2 linked regions of the Struthio camelus genome follow. Each later gene encodes a partner of the first gene's protein in a complex. Links are inferred from orthologs where the notes say so. Each region holds a gene or a part of one and is shown in the gene's direction. Other genes may lie near its edges.

Evidence for each region. The genes of interacting proteins can lie anywhere in the genome.
Region 2: CDHR2 (region 1) and MYO7B share a complex: the UniProt entries of both Homo sapiens proteins name them as parts of the IMAC/intermicrovillar adhesion complex. The link is inferred for Struthio camelus from reciprocal best matches to the Homo sapiens genes CDHR2 and MYO7B.

Annotation. Positions count from the first base shown.
Region 1 is NC_090954.1:10,026,913-10,034,506, reverse strand, and holds the start of CDHR2 (cadherin-related family member 2), read left to right. Parts: upstream 1-4,581; 5' UTR 4,582-4,697; intron 4,698-4,784; 5' UTR 4,785-4,864; intron 4,865-5,490; 5' UTR 5,491-5,503; coding exon 5,504-5,549; intron 5,550-5,925; coding exon 5,926-5,991; intron 5,992-6,113; coding exon 6,114-6,253; intron 6,254-6,652; coding exon 6,653-6,706; intron 6,707-6,938; coding exon 6,939-7,028; intron 7,029-7,565; coding exon 7,566-7,594. UniProt on the Homo sapiens protein: Intermicrovillar adhesion molecule that forms, via its extracellular domain, calcium-dependent heterophilic complexes with CDHR5 on adjacent microvilli. Thereby, controls the packing of microvilli at the apical membrane of epithelial cells.
Region 2 is NC_090950.1:6,319,490-6,326,332, forward strand, and holds the start of MYO7B (unconventional myosin-VIIb), read left to right. Parts: upstream 1-3,825; 5' UTR 3,826-5,107; coding exon 5,108-5,287; exon of another isoform or gene 5,288-5,749; intron 5,750-5,911; exon of another isoform or gene 5,912-5,920; coding exon 5,921-6,073; intron 6,074-6,843. UniProt on the Homo sapiens protein: Myosins are actin-based motor molecules with ATPase activity. Their highly divergent tails are presumed to bind to membranous compartments, which would be moved relative to actin filaments.

The DNA of each region.
Region 1 (7,594 bases):
CCCCAGCCAGAGCCAGCTGCTGCTGTGACCTCCCTGCACGCAAAGCGGAAGAGGCTCAGCTTCGAGACCTGAGCACACAGGCTCACCATTTCCTGCCCTTCCCAGCCCTCCGCTTCTGCCCCGCCGCACACCGCCTTCCCCGTGCGAGCATGCCAGGCCGGTCGCTGGAGCAGCCGGGGCTCCAGATGGCTCTCACCACCCCTGCAAACCTCTCCCTTCATTGCAGCGGGGAGCTACCGGCTCCTGGCAGCAGATGGAGGGACCACAGCAGCAGCAAGAGCTGTACAGATACCAGACGGCAGGGCGCCTGCCTGCCCACGGAGTGGAGATCACCACCCGGCTCCCGCTCTGCCCCCACGCTGGCATTGGCGGCAGCAGCCAGCCTGCCCCTGGTGGAGGGCACGGTCCCTTCTTCATCCCCGCAGCGTGCCCAGGCCACAGGACTGGCATGGCACGTACCAGAGGTGGCTTCAAGCAAACCACGCCTGTGTCACCCCAGGCTGCTCCAGCCCAGGGCCAGTGCCCAGGTGCCCGCCATCACACCACTTCACTCCGAACACACATCCCTCCCTTAGACCTTCATTCATCCAGAAAGCAGTGAGAGACTAGGAGGTGGTTCCTGTCCTGCTAGTGCCAGGACAGACCGCAGGTATAGCTCCAAAGGGACAGCCCAGCAGCGCCAGCCACAAGGTGCTCTGACCTGGCTGAGCAAAGCCGGTGATGGACAGACCATGCTGCATGGGCCCTAACCCTGACCTCTGCCAGTCTGCCCGAGGGCAGGCTAGCATGGTCGTGGTCACATCTCTGCAAGGCGGCCTCAGGGTAGGTCCCTGGGACACAGGAACAGCCACCAGTCAGAGCGCCCCAGTTCCAAGCAAGGTTTGGGGGGGACAAAGCCCCGCACCCTGGCTGCGACTCCTTGTGCAGCAGGGCTCTGTGCAGAGGGGAGTCACACCTGAGCCCAGGCGGCTCCCGCCTCCCATGCCAACACCTGCCCCGGCCCTGCTGGCACTGCCACCCGAGCAGAGGGATCGAGACGGGCTGCAGGGCACCTGCCAAACCAAATCCCACAGCCCGAGGGACTTGCAGACGCAGAGCACAGCTCCTGCAGCCTGGCCAGCTTCAAAGCAAACACCCAAAGGTGACAAACAAAGGCACCCAGCAGGCGCTCCGCATTAGCAGTATTTTTAGACGCCGCTATGGAGCCGGCCTTATTATTTTCATTGCAACGTGCATAATTACCCACCATGCACTGCAGTGACATCAGACGGCAGCCTGCTCCCATCCGACAGCCGGCAAGGCCAGGCTCGCGCCTGCTCCTCCACCCATCGCCCCGGCCGCGCACAGCGCTCCTGCCACAGGGACGGATTCGGCCTCCGCAGCCTCTGACCTGCGCATCTCCCCAGGGCACGGCGTCACCGCTGCACGCGGGAGCTGCGCCTCCCAGGGGACTCGGGTCCTCGGGAGCCAGTGAAGGAGCCAAAACAGGTGCAGGTGGCACAGGGGAGGTGGGAGGAGAGGCCGAACGGGGCAGCGACGCAGGACGGTGGCGAGGAGGAAGGCACAGGACGAAGCTCCGGAGCTGCAGACGCGCGGGCGAGACCCGCTCAGCCGGCTGTCCGAGAGGCAAGGGGCTGGTGCAGGGCTCCCGGGGCGCAGTCTGCATCCGAGATGCCGCAACAAAACCAAGACGCACTTGTAGGAAGACGTGCTGGCCCGACAGCGGAGAGACAGCATCCACCATGGCGCAGGCTGCCAGCAGAGTTCAGCCGCTGAACTTCTGCCTGAGGAAGCAAACCCTGGCGCGCAGCACCAAACCCAGAGATCCTGCAGGCCTGCAGAGCTCAGGCTGTAGGTTTCGCACATCCCAAGCTACGGATACCCCCATTCCCACACAACCTCTGTGGGACGAGGCTGCTCGTGAGCCCAGCCTGGCACACGCACACCGCCTGCGATCGTGGTATACGCAACACCGTCTAAGGGTTTATTTATTTCCAAGCAGCTTCTCCATTTACGACTTTCTCAAGAGTTTCGCCACTTCCCCTTCCGTCCCTCCTCACGCAACACGGCGCTCACCCCGCGCGGGGCTGGAGATGACCGATTTCAGGTCAAGCAGCGCCGCGCTGGGAACGGGAGCGGCAGACGGAGCACTTTTATCTCGTCCTATAAAAAGTGCCCTTCGAGTCAGCGACACAAAACCCAGCCTCGACGCAAGCCAACAACTCCTGCGCAGCCGGAGACACGGCGGGGCAGAAACAGGGCGGCCCGGCAGCCCCCGCAGAAGGGACGAGAGCGCCGCTGGGCTCCAAAAGGAGGCGGGCGCCCGGCGCAGCCCGCCCCAGCTCTGCTGCCCTCCCCGATGCCCCGAGCAGACCCGAGGCGCCCGGCGCGGCCCTGCTCTCCCTGGGGGGCTCCCAGAGAGCTGGGGGCTTTTTCCGCCCGTCCCCGGCGGCAGCCACCCCAGCACACCCACCGCCTTGCGCCTGCCCCACGCGTCCAGCCCCGGAGCAGCGGGTCCTGCCGCCCCACGCAGCCACCCGCCCGCCGTGCGCCGGCCCCACAGCCCTGCTCACTGCCTTTCGCCTGGCATCAGGCCCTGCCCGTGCATCTGCCACCGTGCACCGCTGCACCGGGCCTGGCCTGCCTCTTCCCGGTGCACCGGGCCGGCCTGCCCCACCCCCTGGCACCGCTGCACCAGGTCCTGTCCCCTTCCTGGTGCACCGGGCCTGCCCCCTTCCCGGTGCATCCAGCCTGCCTGCCTCTTCCCGGTGCACCGGGCCCTGCCCACTTCCCCGGTGCACCGGGCTGGCCTGGCCACTTCCCCGGTGCACCGCGCCCTGCCCCCTTCCCGGTGCACCGGGCCTGCCTGCCCCTTCCCGGTGCACCGGGCCTGCCTGCCCATTTCCCAGTGCACCAGGCCCTGCCGCCTTCCCGGTGCACCGGGCCCTGCCGCCTTCCCGGTGCACCGGGCCCGCCTGCCCACTTCCCGGTGCACCGGGCCCTGCCCCCTTCCCGGTGCACCCAGCCTGCCTGCCCACTTCCCGGTGCACCGGCCCTGCCCCCTTCCCCGTGCACCCAGCCTGCCTGCACCCTTCCCGGTGCACCGAGCCCTGCCCGCCCCCTTCCCGGTGCACCGGCGCTGCCCGCCCCATGCTACCACCCCCCTACCCGGGCTCCGGCCCCGGCGCCGCCGCTCCCGCACCTACCGGAGGCGCCGCCCCCGCCGCTCGCCCGCTCTGCCCGGCGCACGAAGGCCGCTCGGTGCCCGCCCGCGGCTCAGCCCGCTCGCATGGCGCGGCCGCCGGGCTCGGTGTCCCTCCCGGTGCCGGTGTCCCTCCCGGTGCCGCTCCCGCTCCGGCCTCGGCCCGGCCTCAGCCCCGCCTCATGGTACCCCTGCGCCCGCCGCCCCGATGGAACCGGCCGCGCCGCGCCGCCAGCCCCCCCCCGCCACGCGAATGGGCGCGCCCGTCCCCCCCAACCCTACTACGCCCAAGAGCGGCGCCGACGAAACCGCGAGGCGCCGTGCCGGGCCGCGGGGCGCTCTGCGCCGTAATGCTTCGAGCGGCAGCGCACGCGCCCGGCTCGGAGGGCAGCGCTGGGGAGTGTCCGGATCTAGCCCGGGAGGCTCTGCTGGGGTGTCCCAGGCCAGCCCGGGGGGCTGTGCTGGGGTGTCCCGGTCCGGCCCGGATGTTTCTGCTGGGGTGTCCCAGTCTGGCCCGGGGGTCTCTGCTGGGGTGTCCTGGTCCGGCCTGGGGTCTCTGCTGGAGTGTCCTGGTCCAGCCTGGGGTCTCTGTTGGGGTGTCCCAGTCTGGCCCGGGGGTCTCTGCTGGGGTGTCCCAGGCCAGCCCGGGGGGCTGTGCTGGGGTGTCCTGGTCCGGCCCGGGTGTTTCTGCTGGGGTGTCCCAGGCCAGCCCGGGGGTCTCTGCTGGGGTGTCCTGGTCCGGCCTGGGGTCTCTGCTGGAGTGTCCTGGTCCAGCCTGGGGTCTCTGTTGGGGTGTCCCAGTCTGGCCCGGGGGGCTGTGCTGGGGTGTCCTGGTCCGGCCCGGGTGTTTCTGCTGGGGTGCCCCAGGCCAGCCTGCTTCCCCTCACCCCAGCATGTGGGGAAAGTACCTGGTGGGGCTGGATGTCCTGGGGGCACCCTTGAGTCCCCCTGGCTGCACCCTGCAGGGCTGCCCAGCCCCTTGCCCCCTGGGGTCCCCGGTGAAAAGGGGGTGAAGGTGCTGGGACCCCCCCGGCCGGGTGCTGCAGGCCCTCGGGGCTGGGGCTGGCAGGCCCGCGCCCCCGCCTCCCGGCCCCCTTCTGCCTGAGCAGAGACGCACAATCCGCCCTTGTCCCCGGCCGGCCCCAAGTAGGTCAGGGAGGCCGGGCTGAGCCCCCCGAGCTCCCCAGGAAGGAGAGAGGAGCTAGCAGGCACGGGCTGCAGGGCCCCGGGCTCCCGCCCCGGCAGCCACTCCGCTCACCCCCTGCCCCAGCGGGAGCCAGCTGTCCCCGACCCAGGGGACAGGGTCCATCCCCAGTGCCCTCAACCCATTTCAGAGGGCGGTCCCCTCCATCCTGGCCTGCTTGGAGTCCCTCCGCCCCGCCGTGGGCCCTGCCGCGCTCCTGGCACCCGCGGGAGCCGCGGGGACAGCAGCCAGCGCGGGGGGCTGGGGGGCTGCGGCTGAGGAGCGAGCACGGGGCCAGGCCGGACCCGGGAGGTGGGGGATGAGCTCGAGGAAGGAGGAAGGTGAAAATGGATTTCTCACTCCCTAATTCCAGTTAATGATTGATGAACCTGTTTACAGCAGGAGGCAAAGGTCCCCCGCGGTGCCAGGGTGTGGGTGCAGGCAGCTGCCCAGCAGCATCCCCGCGGACCCGGCCGCAGGTAAGGGATGCCGGCCCCAGCCCCCGCGGTCCAGCGGTGACGGGAGGCGGTGGGTGTCCGGCGGCAGAGAAGAGCTGCGGGCCGTGGCCCGAGGAGGGGGGCAGCCGCGGCGGTGTTACAGCTTGTGCCTGGACTCCGAGCGCCCCGTGTCCAGGCTCCTATGGGTGGGACCTGGCACCCCAGGAGAGCAGCAGTCCCATCCCAGGCTCTCCCAAATGGCTGCTGCAGCCTGGGGACACGGGTGGCTCCAGCATCCCAGCGCCATGGGGCTGGGAGGGCCTGGGGGACGCCTGCGTGGGCTCTCCCCAGCAGCTTCCCGGCGGGACAGCCGAACCCCCGGCCAACCGAGCCCTCCGGGGCTTACGGGATGGGCTGTCCCCGTGCCTGGGGGCTGCCCGTGGCCCCAGAGCCCGTGGTGGGCTGTGAACAGGCGCAGCTTGCCCCATACAGATTTGGGGACAGCATGGAGCCTGGCGTCTTGCTCCCCGGTACACTCAGTCCCGCTCAGCTCACCCGAGCTGGGTCCCCCTGCCTGGGGCGCTGCCCCCCAGGAAGGGGCCGGGGCGGCCGGCGGGAGAGGCCGGCTGCTGACCCGGAGGTGCTGGGTCTCCCATGTGTGCCCGCAGGCTTGCCAGCAGGATGGCAGGGCGCGTGCTGGTGCTGTTCCCCTTCTTCCTGGCGGCAGGTGAGGACTTTGCTTGGTGGCTTGCCAGGGTGGGTGGGAAGCGCTGGAGGTGCCTGAGGCCCCCGGCTCTCGTCCTTGTTTCCTTGAGGGCAGCCGGGACCCCCAAAACAGGTGCCCACCCCCTTGGCACCAGTGTTGAGGACCCAGCGGCTATCCTCCTACCCCAGGGAGCAGGGGTGGCCTGGACCTGGGAGGTGGGGGACGACACAAGGAGGGAGGGTGAGAAACAGCAGGCTGGGGGGTTCCCTGGCCCCCCGGGACTCAAAGCACCTCCAGGAGCTGAGCGCTGGGGCTGGGCAGGCTCTGCTGGCTCTGCGGTGCAGGGCCCGGGCAGAGGCCAGCTCAGGGCTGTGCTCAGCACACGTCCTCGCTGCAGTTTCAGGGAACACAGCCCCCTACTTCAACATGACCCTCGTGTACGTGCCAGAGGACCTGAAGATTGGTGAGTGGGGCAGCTTCAGAGCTGCCCGGATGAGGAGAGGCCCTGGGGTGCCGGGGGAGCACCCAGCCGTCCCCCCACACCCGGCAGCCCTGGGCGGGTGCTGACGCTGCCCTTGTGCCCAGGCGAGGAGGCCTTCCAGTTGCAGGCAATTGATGCGGACGGGGACCCACTCACCTACAGCATCAGTGGGTCAGAGGCCTTCTACTTCTCTGTCGAGGCCCACACGGGCAAAGTGCTGCTCAAGAACCTCCTGGACCGTGAGGTGAGGGCAGAGGCCCCGGCCCCGAGCTGTGAGCTGGCATCTCGGGCACTGGCGGGCTCTGGGGGGACAGACAGCAGAGCGAGGAGTCCTCTGGGAGAGCTGCTCGTGCAGCACCGTGGGTCCCTGCCGTGGGGCAAGGCCATGGGCAGCTCCGGGCTGTGCCGGGGGAACCGCCACGGGCTGGAGGCTGCAGGCAGAGGTGCACGTCAGGGAGCCCAGGGCTGGGGCAGGGAGCGAGGGACGTTTGCCACCAGCTCCCTGGCCCCCAACCCCAGCTCGGGGAGGGAGAGCCGGCCAGGGGGAGCAGCGCACCCAGGGGTGGTGGCTGGGAGGACTGAGCCCTGCCTGGCTCTGACTGAGTGTGTGTCTCCATGTGTGTCTCCATGTGTGTCCCCACAGTCCCTGGCCAGGCTCACGCTCACCATCACAGTGTCCGACGGGCAGAACGACGCGGTGAGTGCCGGGGTCGCGGTGTGGCAGGGGGTGGCTGTGGCAGCAGCTGGGGCCAAGCAGGGTCTCAGCGTGGACAAGGACCAGTGGTGAAGGGTGCCGGGGCAACGCTGCGCCGCCGGACGGGTGCAGAGCCGTGGGGACGTGGGGCGCCGGAGCAGCACCCAGCTCTCCTGGGCACCCCATCTCCCTGCCCCTGCTCTGCACCGTCACTGATGCCCGCTGCTCCCGGTAGGTCTCCAAAAAACTGACGGTCATCGTGGAGGACCGTAACGACAATGCCCCCATCTTCCAGAACCTGCCGTATGAAACCACCGTTGCGGAGGTAGCTTCCCACAGGGAGGAGGGCAGGCGTGCGGGGCTGGCACCGGTGGCATGGGTGTGCCGGAAGCAGGGTGACTGCGAACCTGGGAGGGGGTGACTGCGCACCGGGGAAGGCTGGATCTTGGAGCAGCACGTGCCAGGGCTGTTCCTGGGTGGGTGCCTCCGTGCCAGGCCTGGGCGCTGGGGAGGGCTGGGACTCTGCCCTTGCCATGAGTCGATCAGGGAGTGCCTGAGCCACCTCTCCACCCAGGCTGGGGTGAGGCCGGTTCGGGGTGCAGACAGGCTATGGGTCTGAGCCTGACCCTCCCCGATGGTCACAGCCCTGGCTCCTAGGAAGCCCCACAGAAGGTGAGGGGGAACCTAGATCTGGCCCCCCGCTCGGCGTGAGCAGGGACAGCAGCTCAGCCCTGTGCAGCCCACAACACCAAGCAGTCCCACAGGGCCGAGGCACCCCAGGCTAGGGCTGGCGGGGTCAGGCTCAGTGCCACTTCCCCTGCCCTCCTGGGCGATGCCACCACTGCTTGCCTTGTGTCTCCAGAACATGACAGCCGACAGCATCATCTACAC
Region 2 (6,843 bases), on another chromosome or scaffold:
GCTAAGTACCATGCTCCTGTACCACTTTGCATCGCTTGTAGTTACAGGTCATCACATCCTTGAAGTTAATGTGCAGGTAGAGCTCCTGAGTCCTGAAAAAGGACGTGAGGACATGGCCATAAGAATAGCTGATTATGAGAGATGGAAGGTCCTTCCTGAGATACTGTAAAAAAGAAAAGAAAAAGGCAGGCAGCCAGAAAACATACGTTCATGTTGTGTTGCTAGATTTTCCTAGATGTTGTGCTGCAAAATCTAGAATTGCCTTAGTTATGCATGAGCTCTGGAGGCTGCCGTAGTCTAATATAGTCAGCAGGTGTTGTGCTGGGGACACAGCACATGCAGTTTCTCCATGTATCACGTTTTGTTATTAAGGTCTATATTCCACTTTTCCTCCACTTATTGGGTCAGTTACATTAAAATTACATGTAAAATTCTGGCTTTTAAATGTGTGTTAGCATTGGACTTCTACAGCAGCAGTCTGGCATCTCTTCAAGTTTCTATGCATTTTTTCCCTTGGAATCACAAGACATCTTGTAATTTTGAAAACTGGTTATATTTAGCATGTTTTATGACTATTTAAAAGTGGTTAATCATTCTGGGCTTGTTTAAAAAACGTGTTTAATCTGTGCTACTGTATAGCCCTTTATGGCCACATAAGGGAGGGCTCCAAGATCATGTGGCTGATTTTTCCCTCTGAATCCAGACATGCACTTCCTAGTTTCCTTATTTGCTACCGTAAAGCCTTCCTTATGTTTAGAACTGTGGTGTTATCCAGACAGTGGCAGTATCTCACATAAAGGAGTATAATTGTTACCTCCATTTATTCAGAAGAAAAGGTTGCTTATGCACTCATCAGTTTTATCTAAAAGTCCTCAATTTATGGAAGTTATGTATACTTTCCCACATCACATGGGTAAAAAACCAGTTGCAGGCTATAGGTAAGCAAATGATAAAATGAGGCCTAATTCTCTCACTGCAAAGTTTTCTTCCACCACTGAATATCGACATTTATTAAAACAAGAGGAAGAAATAAGTATTATCCCCAAACATCATCTTGAGTTTTTTGAAATGGTGATACTCATTTTTCAAGAGCGTGAATTCCAAAAAGTAAAGTAGTGATTTGAAAGACTGCTTTCTAAAAATTCAGCCGCAAAGTCTATACCTCAGAAACTTGTATAACTCCACCATAAAATGAATCAGATTCAAAATCATGAAATGATTGAAATGATTCAGTCAGAAGATTAATGATATCTGGGTACCTCTCAGAAAAAAAATACATCCCTCTTACACAGAATTGTAAATAGTATGATAAATTTTACTTTACGATATTAAAGCCTTTACACATGATAAAGAGAAGAAATCTCAAGGATTTCAGTGAAATTATTTATGAAATATCCCATCAATCACTAAAGTTAATGGTACTACTGCAAACTGGGATTCCATGATCATCTGCACAGTACTGGCAGAACATGCAACTTTCAACTTGGTTAATTTGGGGGCTTCTTTTTTTGCTCAAACTTTCCAGAAAACCTGGCCAAAAAAAGCACACATGCATAATTTGGGACCAAAACCAGATAACTTCTCAAAAGGCTATGAGAAAATAAGAAATTTGAATTCAAGCGTCAAGATAAAACTAGAACCAGCTTCTCTTTTCTTCATGGGTGGGTGTTCCAAGAGATCCTGGACCTGTCTAGAATTAGTGCCAAAGATCAATTTCTTGTCCTGAGTTGTCCACTCGTCCTCTTGTCAAATGATTTACAAGAGGTGTGCCGTCAAACAGTAGTGTAAAGAGGGATGCAAATGACTCAATATATCCTCATTGAGCTTCAGCCAAGCAGGAAGTTGTAAAATCTGCTTGAGATAAAATAGTAAAAAATCTTCATTAATAATACATGATAAAAGGGTAGAATTAGAATTTATTTTCGGTGCAATGTTAGCATTTTATTTACGGAGCATTTTGCTTATTGCAACTATTTCATTCTTATTATGAACTCTGAGCTGAGCCTTTTTTCTGGATGTGCAAAAATGGGGTGGCGGGAGAGATACTTTAGAGAAATGGAGGGAGGAGAGCTGGTCACACCACTCTGAGAAGCTTGTGAATATGAAGTTTTGTAGGCTTGGGGTAATAAATGATGTCTACTGCACACAGCAGCTATTGAGTCATAGATTGCTCAACAGCTTTAGGTGCAGTGACAATTCCTGCTGGTAGGAAGAGAAAGCAGAGGAAAAACCCTGCCTCTTTTGATGGGAAGAGAGATGCACTTAACTCACATTACGGTGAGCTGGACCCAACAGCAGCAGGGAGAGGATGAGCAAGTGGAAAGCAAATGACTATTAGATGTATACCCAAGATGCTTCACGCTCCTCTCCTGAGGCTGTGCCTTCGTTTCCTCAGATGCACAGGTTGCCAGTGGGAGGGACTCTGCTCTTCAATTCATTGTTTTGCCCAGGATCAGCACACACAGTCACCCAGGGTAAACAGAGCCATATGGCAATCCCTTCTTTGTGTGCACCAGCACAGAGGAGAGCTTCCTCCTGTGTGATACACCGGAGGATAAGAGAATATGCCTTCCTCATATTATTGCAGAGTTTTCAGAAGTTATCAGGGTTTTATTCAGTACTATTTGCATAATGGAAGGTTGAAAACCAATTCACCATCATCAGCCACTAAATTAATATAATGAAAATGTATTTTTAATTCCTTCCTCAGTGTCTTTATTTGAACTGTGCAAGTTGGCACACGAGTGAGGAGAGATCTCTCAGTCTTTTTAAAATGTGACCTGCTGCTTAGGGCTTGCACTCAGCTGAAGCCTTTCATGCTCTGGAAACATTTACAGTGAACTTTGCAAAGAGTCTGCCTGCGATTTCCTACACGCAGCCAAAGGCATGTAGCAGCCCTCACGCTAGCAGGGTGGGAGCCAGCAAACCACACCTATCCCTGGCATCGCTCCCGAAGTCCAGCTGCTGGGGCATATAAGACAGTACGTGGCTTCTAAAGACTTTGGTTCTTTGGTTGTTCCCAGGCTCACAGCCTAAACAGTATCATCACTTATTCAGAGCACTGGTGTAGGTTTCTGGCCACGTCTTTTCACTATGTTCTTGACACTGAGCTCCTAATTCTATCGTGGTTCCTTGGAGACGTTGCCATTTTTGAGCTTGAAGCCTAAAACTTTTCTTATTTTACTGTTCATGCCTTTACTGCAACCACTCCCACGCCAGAGCTCACTTTCTAAAGGGTAGTAGGTTCAAGCTGTGAGGGTCTGAGTGCACCGGGCACCTTAAGAGAGTAAGACTTAAATCTGTGTCACTGGGCTAGGCACTCACCAGAACTCTTCTGTGTAATGAATTACACTGCATTGCATGGGGTCTTGTTATTTGTAAGCGAAACTTAAATTTGAAGTTCAGCCGATAAACATGCCTAGCGTTTGATTGAGGGAACTATTTGGTGTGAAAATGTGCAGTGACTTCTTTGGGATGGAGAGCATCTCCAGGGTTATGTGGTGGACCTCACAGTAGACCACCACACCTGTGTGGCAGATGATTTGCCTCATATAGATGGTTTCATTGTTTCCACATTGGGTGTACTTTCTTACAATTTCTTTTGCTTTCATTTTATCAGTAAACAGAATTATTAAGGTATTTTGCTGTTATTCTTACACGTAAACATCTCCATGCCACTGTCTGTTCTGAACAAAAAGCCCAAGACCTTTTCTGGCATAATGTCATATTCTTCTTTTTGGGATTGCAGGTTGCCAACAGTGCTCTGAAACGTAATGACGGTTTTCAGAAAGGTAAGTCATGTTCTTTGTTGTGATTTAATGATTAGCCTGAGGCCCAAAGAGGAGAAAAGGACCATAACATGGTTCAGCTCAAAAACAAAAGCAGCAGTAACCCACTAGCAACAGGGTACCAAATAACATCCATGTAATTGCAGAGATGTCATGCTCATGTTCAGCTGGTGACCTGGGCCACAAGGGATGGCACTGAAACTACACAGATTGCCAGTGGAGTCTCATTCAGTGTAAAGCAGGACTCTCTCAGCGTGTGACATTCTTCATAACCTTGGGCAATGCTTACAGATGCTTTACATTACAGTTGATTTGGTTCTAAAATGTAAGCCCATAAAGTATTTTAAGAGAAAAAAGAAAGAATTTTTCAGGAAAAAAAATGAAACTTTATCAGTAAATGCTATAATGTGGGACAAAGCATATATTATGACAAGACACCCCACTAGAAAGCTGGCTCCTCAGCAGGTGCAGTTCCATTGGAGCAGTGGAACTGAGCCAGTTTACACCCATCGAAGATCTGACCTATAGCTTTATTGAATTTTCATTCTAGCCATTAAAATCAAACTTTTTGTTTGAACTTGAATTAGTGCCAGGGGCAAGAGAAGGCATTCTGAGGGGCTTGGACTCGAGGAGTATTACCAGGACAGTAGCAGAGGCCATACCAAGATTGCATGAAAATAGTGCTCGTTCCTAGTAAAGAGCAGCCGTAGCTCACACCTTCCCTCTGGTGACGGCAGAGCAGTTCTGCCTGTTTACTCTGTAGGCAGGATATTACCTGAGCATTTACCTCTCTGTCAAGAGAGGTGCTGGGCTAAATAAGGAATACAGGTTTTGTTTCCTAAGAGAGATCATGGATGCAGTCATGTTTCCAAGTGATTTGAGTGATAGCAGAGAGAATATATACCTAAAACTACTGCAGCAGAGCCATCTACGTTTCCAGGGATCTTGTCTATCCATCTTTTTATTTTTCCCTGATTATGTCTTTGTTTTCAAGTATCTTTTCTGTACGAATACTGTAGCTTATGTGAGTTTGTCAAAGCACTTTATAAGCATTCACTATGCCCCCTGCAATCTCTGGGAGGTAGTGGAGCTGCATAACCACAGTCCTTTTTTAAGTGTTGTGTCATTTCCTCTTGTAAAACAGCTGGGCTTGATGACATGTCCAAAGTCACGTACCAGGACAGTTGTGGAGCTGGAAATAAAACCCAGAGGTCCTGATACTGTAACCATTAGATTGTACTGCTTGTAAGCAGTAAGAATTTGTCCAGTTAAAAACACTTGCAGAAGAAATCAAAGCAATAAAAAACTAAAACTAAGAGATGCATACCTGTGAGCTACATGACATCAAGTATGTCACTGTACTTGACAGTTTTTCTTCTCTCCAGGGTGATCACGTGTGGCTGGAAACTCATTCAAATAGTGAATTTAACGTCCCTATTGGGGCAGTTGTGAAGGACTCGGACTCAGGACGGATCTTGCTGGAGGATGATGAAGGCAAGGTGGGCTATGCTATAACCTTCTGTAAAGGAAGAACGTACTTAAAAGTATGGTAACAAAAGAATGGCCATATTGCGTCAGACGCTAGCTCCATCTAGCCAAATTATCTGACTTTGACGATGGTTTTAAAGAAAGAATATAAAAATAAGGCAAGCATGCGGTGATACTTCCCTAGTATATCTTCCCAGGTCCCAACAGTGCGCAGATTTAGGTCATCGTGAGCGAGAGGTTGGATCCACATAGCTAAAAGCAGGAAATGGACAGGCTCCAGCCCCTAAGTTTGGTGGAACTCTGGGTGAAATCGTGATCCCACTAAAGTCAGTTTGTCTGGGGTTTCACCCCTAGCTCTTGCATGCTGTAGCTGTGATGAACTGACACAGAACTGTACTCCAAACACTGCTAAACTTGATGATGTCCAGAACTCACCTGAGTGGCTTCATCCAGGGCCTGTCAATCATCCTGTCCTGGGGAGCAGCACATCTATTAATTCCTCTAGTTGAGTCAGCTGTGACTTAGAGCACGCTGTTTTCAGTGTGGATTGCAGTCAAGCTCGTTCCAGTCTAACATGCCTCTCTGCTTTGTTTGCTTCTGAGACACACTATACCTCATCAAAACTGCTGCCTTACCTTTTTCAGGAGCACTGGATCACGGCAAAGAACATGCACATGGTGCGCCCAATGCACCCCTCCTCTGTCCAAGGGGTGGAAGACATGATCCGCCTTGGGGATCTCCATGAAGCAGGCATGGTGCATAACCTCCTCATCCGCCACCAGGAGCACAAAATCTATGTGAGTGCCGAGGTCACAGGGCACAGTACTGCCAGGAATGACCTCTACTTCACATCCAGACGGGTGTCCTGATCAGCAGCTTACAAGCCTCTTTTCATACATGGTTACATCTGCTTCCTTTACTGATTGAGGATGCTTAGGAGGCTCAACATAGTTTTTGTCCTCGTTCATCCTAACACTTTGACTGCAAAGAAGAGAGCTGATAGTAGTCTCTGAAATCACTGAAATATGCATAGGGCATGACCCCACTTACTCTCTCCTAGAGTGATCGTTTCCAGTGGTGATTGACAGTTAGCTAGATTTCCAGTCCATGTTACCGCTTAGTGCTAGAGCGTACATGCTCCTATTACATGCAGCTGTGATATGTTATCTGTCTAACTAGTAGACAGTGACATGATTTGGATTGTCCTCCAGTCCAAGTCAATGTTTACTTGATTTTGATGTGATAAAGTAGACCAAGAAGAAAGCTGGAGATTTTGGAAACCTGTCAGAGATTTTCTGTGTGACTTTGAGCAACTTATTTAATTTCTTTATTCCTTAGTTCTTGCTTTGTAAAATGATAATAATACTCAGATTTTTGCATTCTTTACCTCCCATGTGATATGCACTACAACCTTCATAGTAGAGGAGCTGCCCCTTACAATACAAATGTGGTGATGTCCAGTGTAATCAAGTACTGATTTTGACAGATGCTGCAGTTATAACTACCAGGATATGTGTTAAGACCTGTTACATTAGTGTCTAGCAGTCTACTGTTGTCTCATATGGAA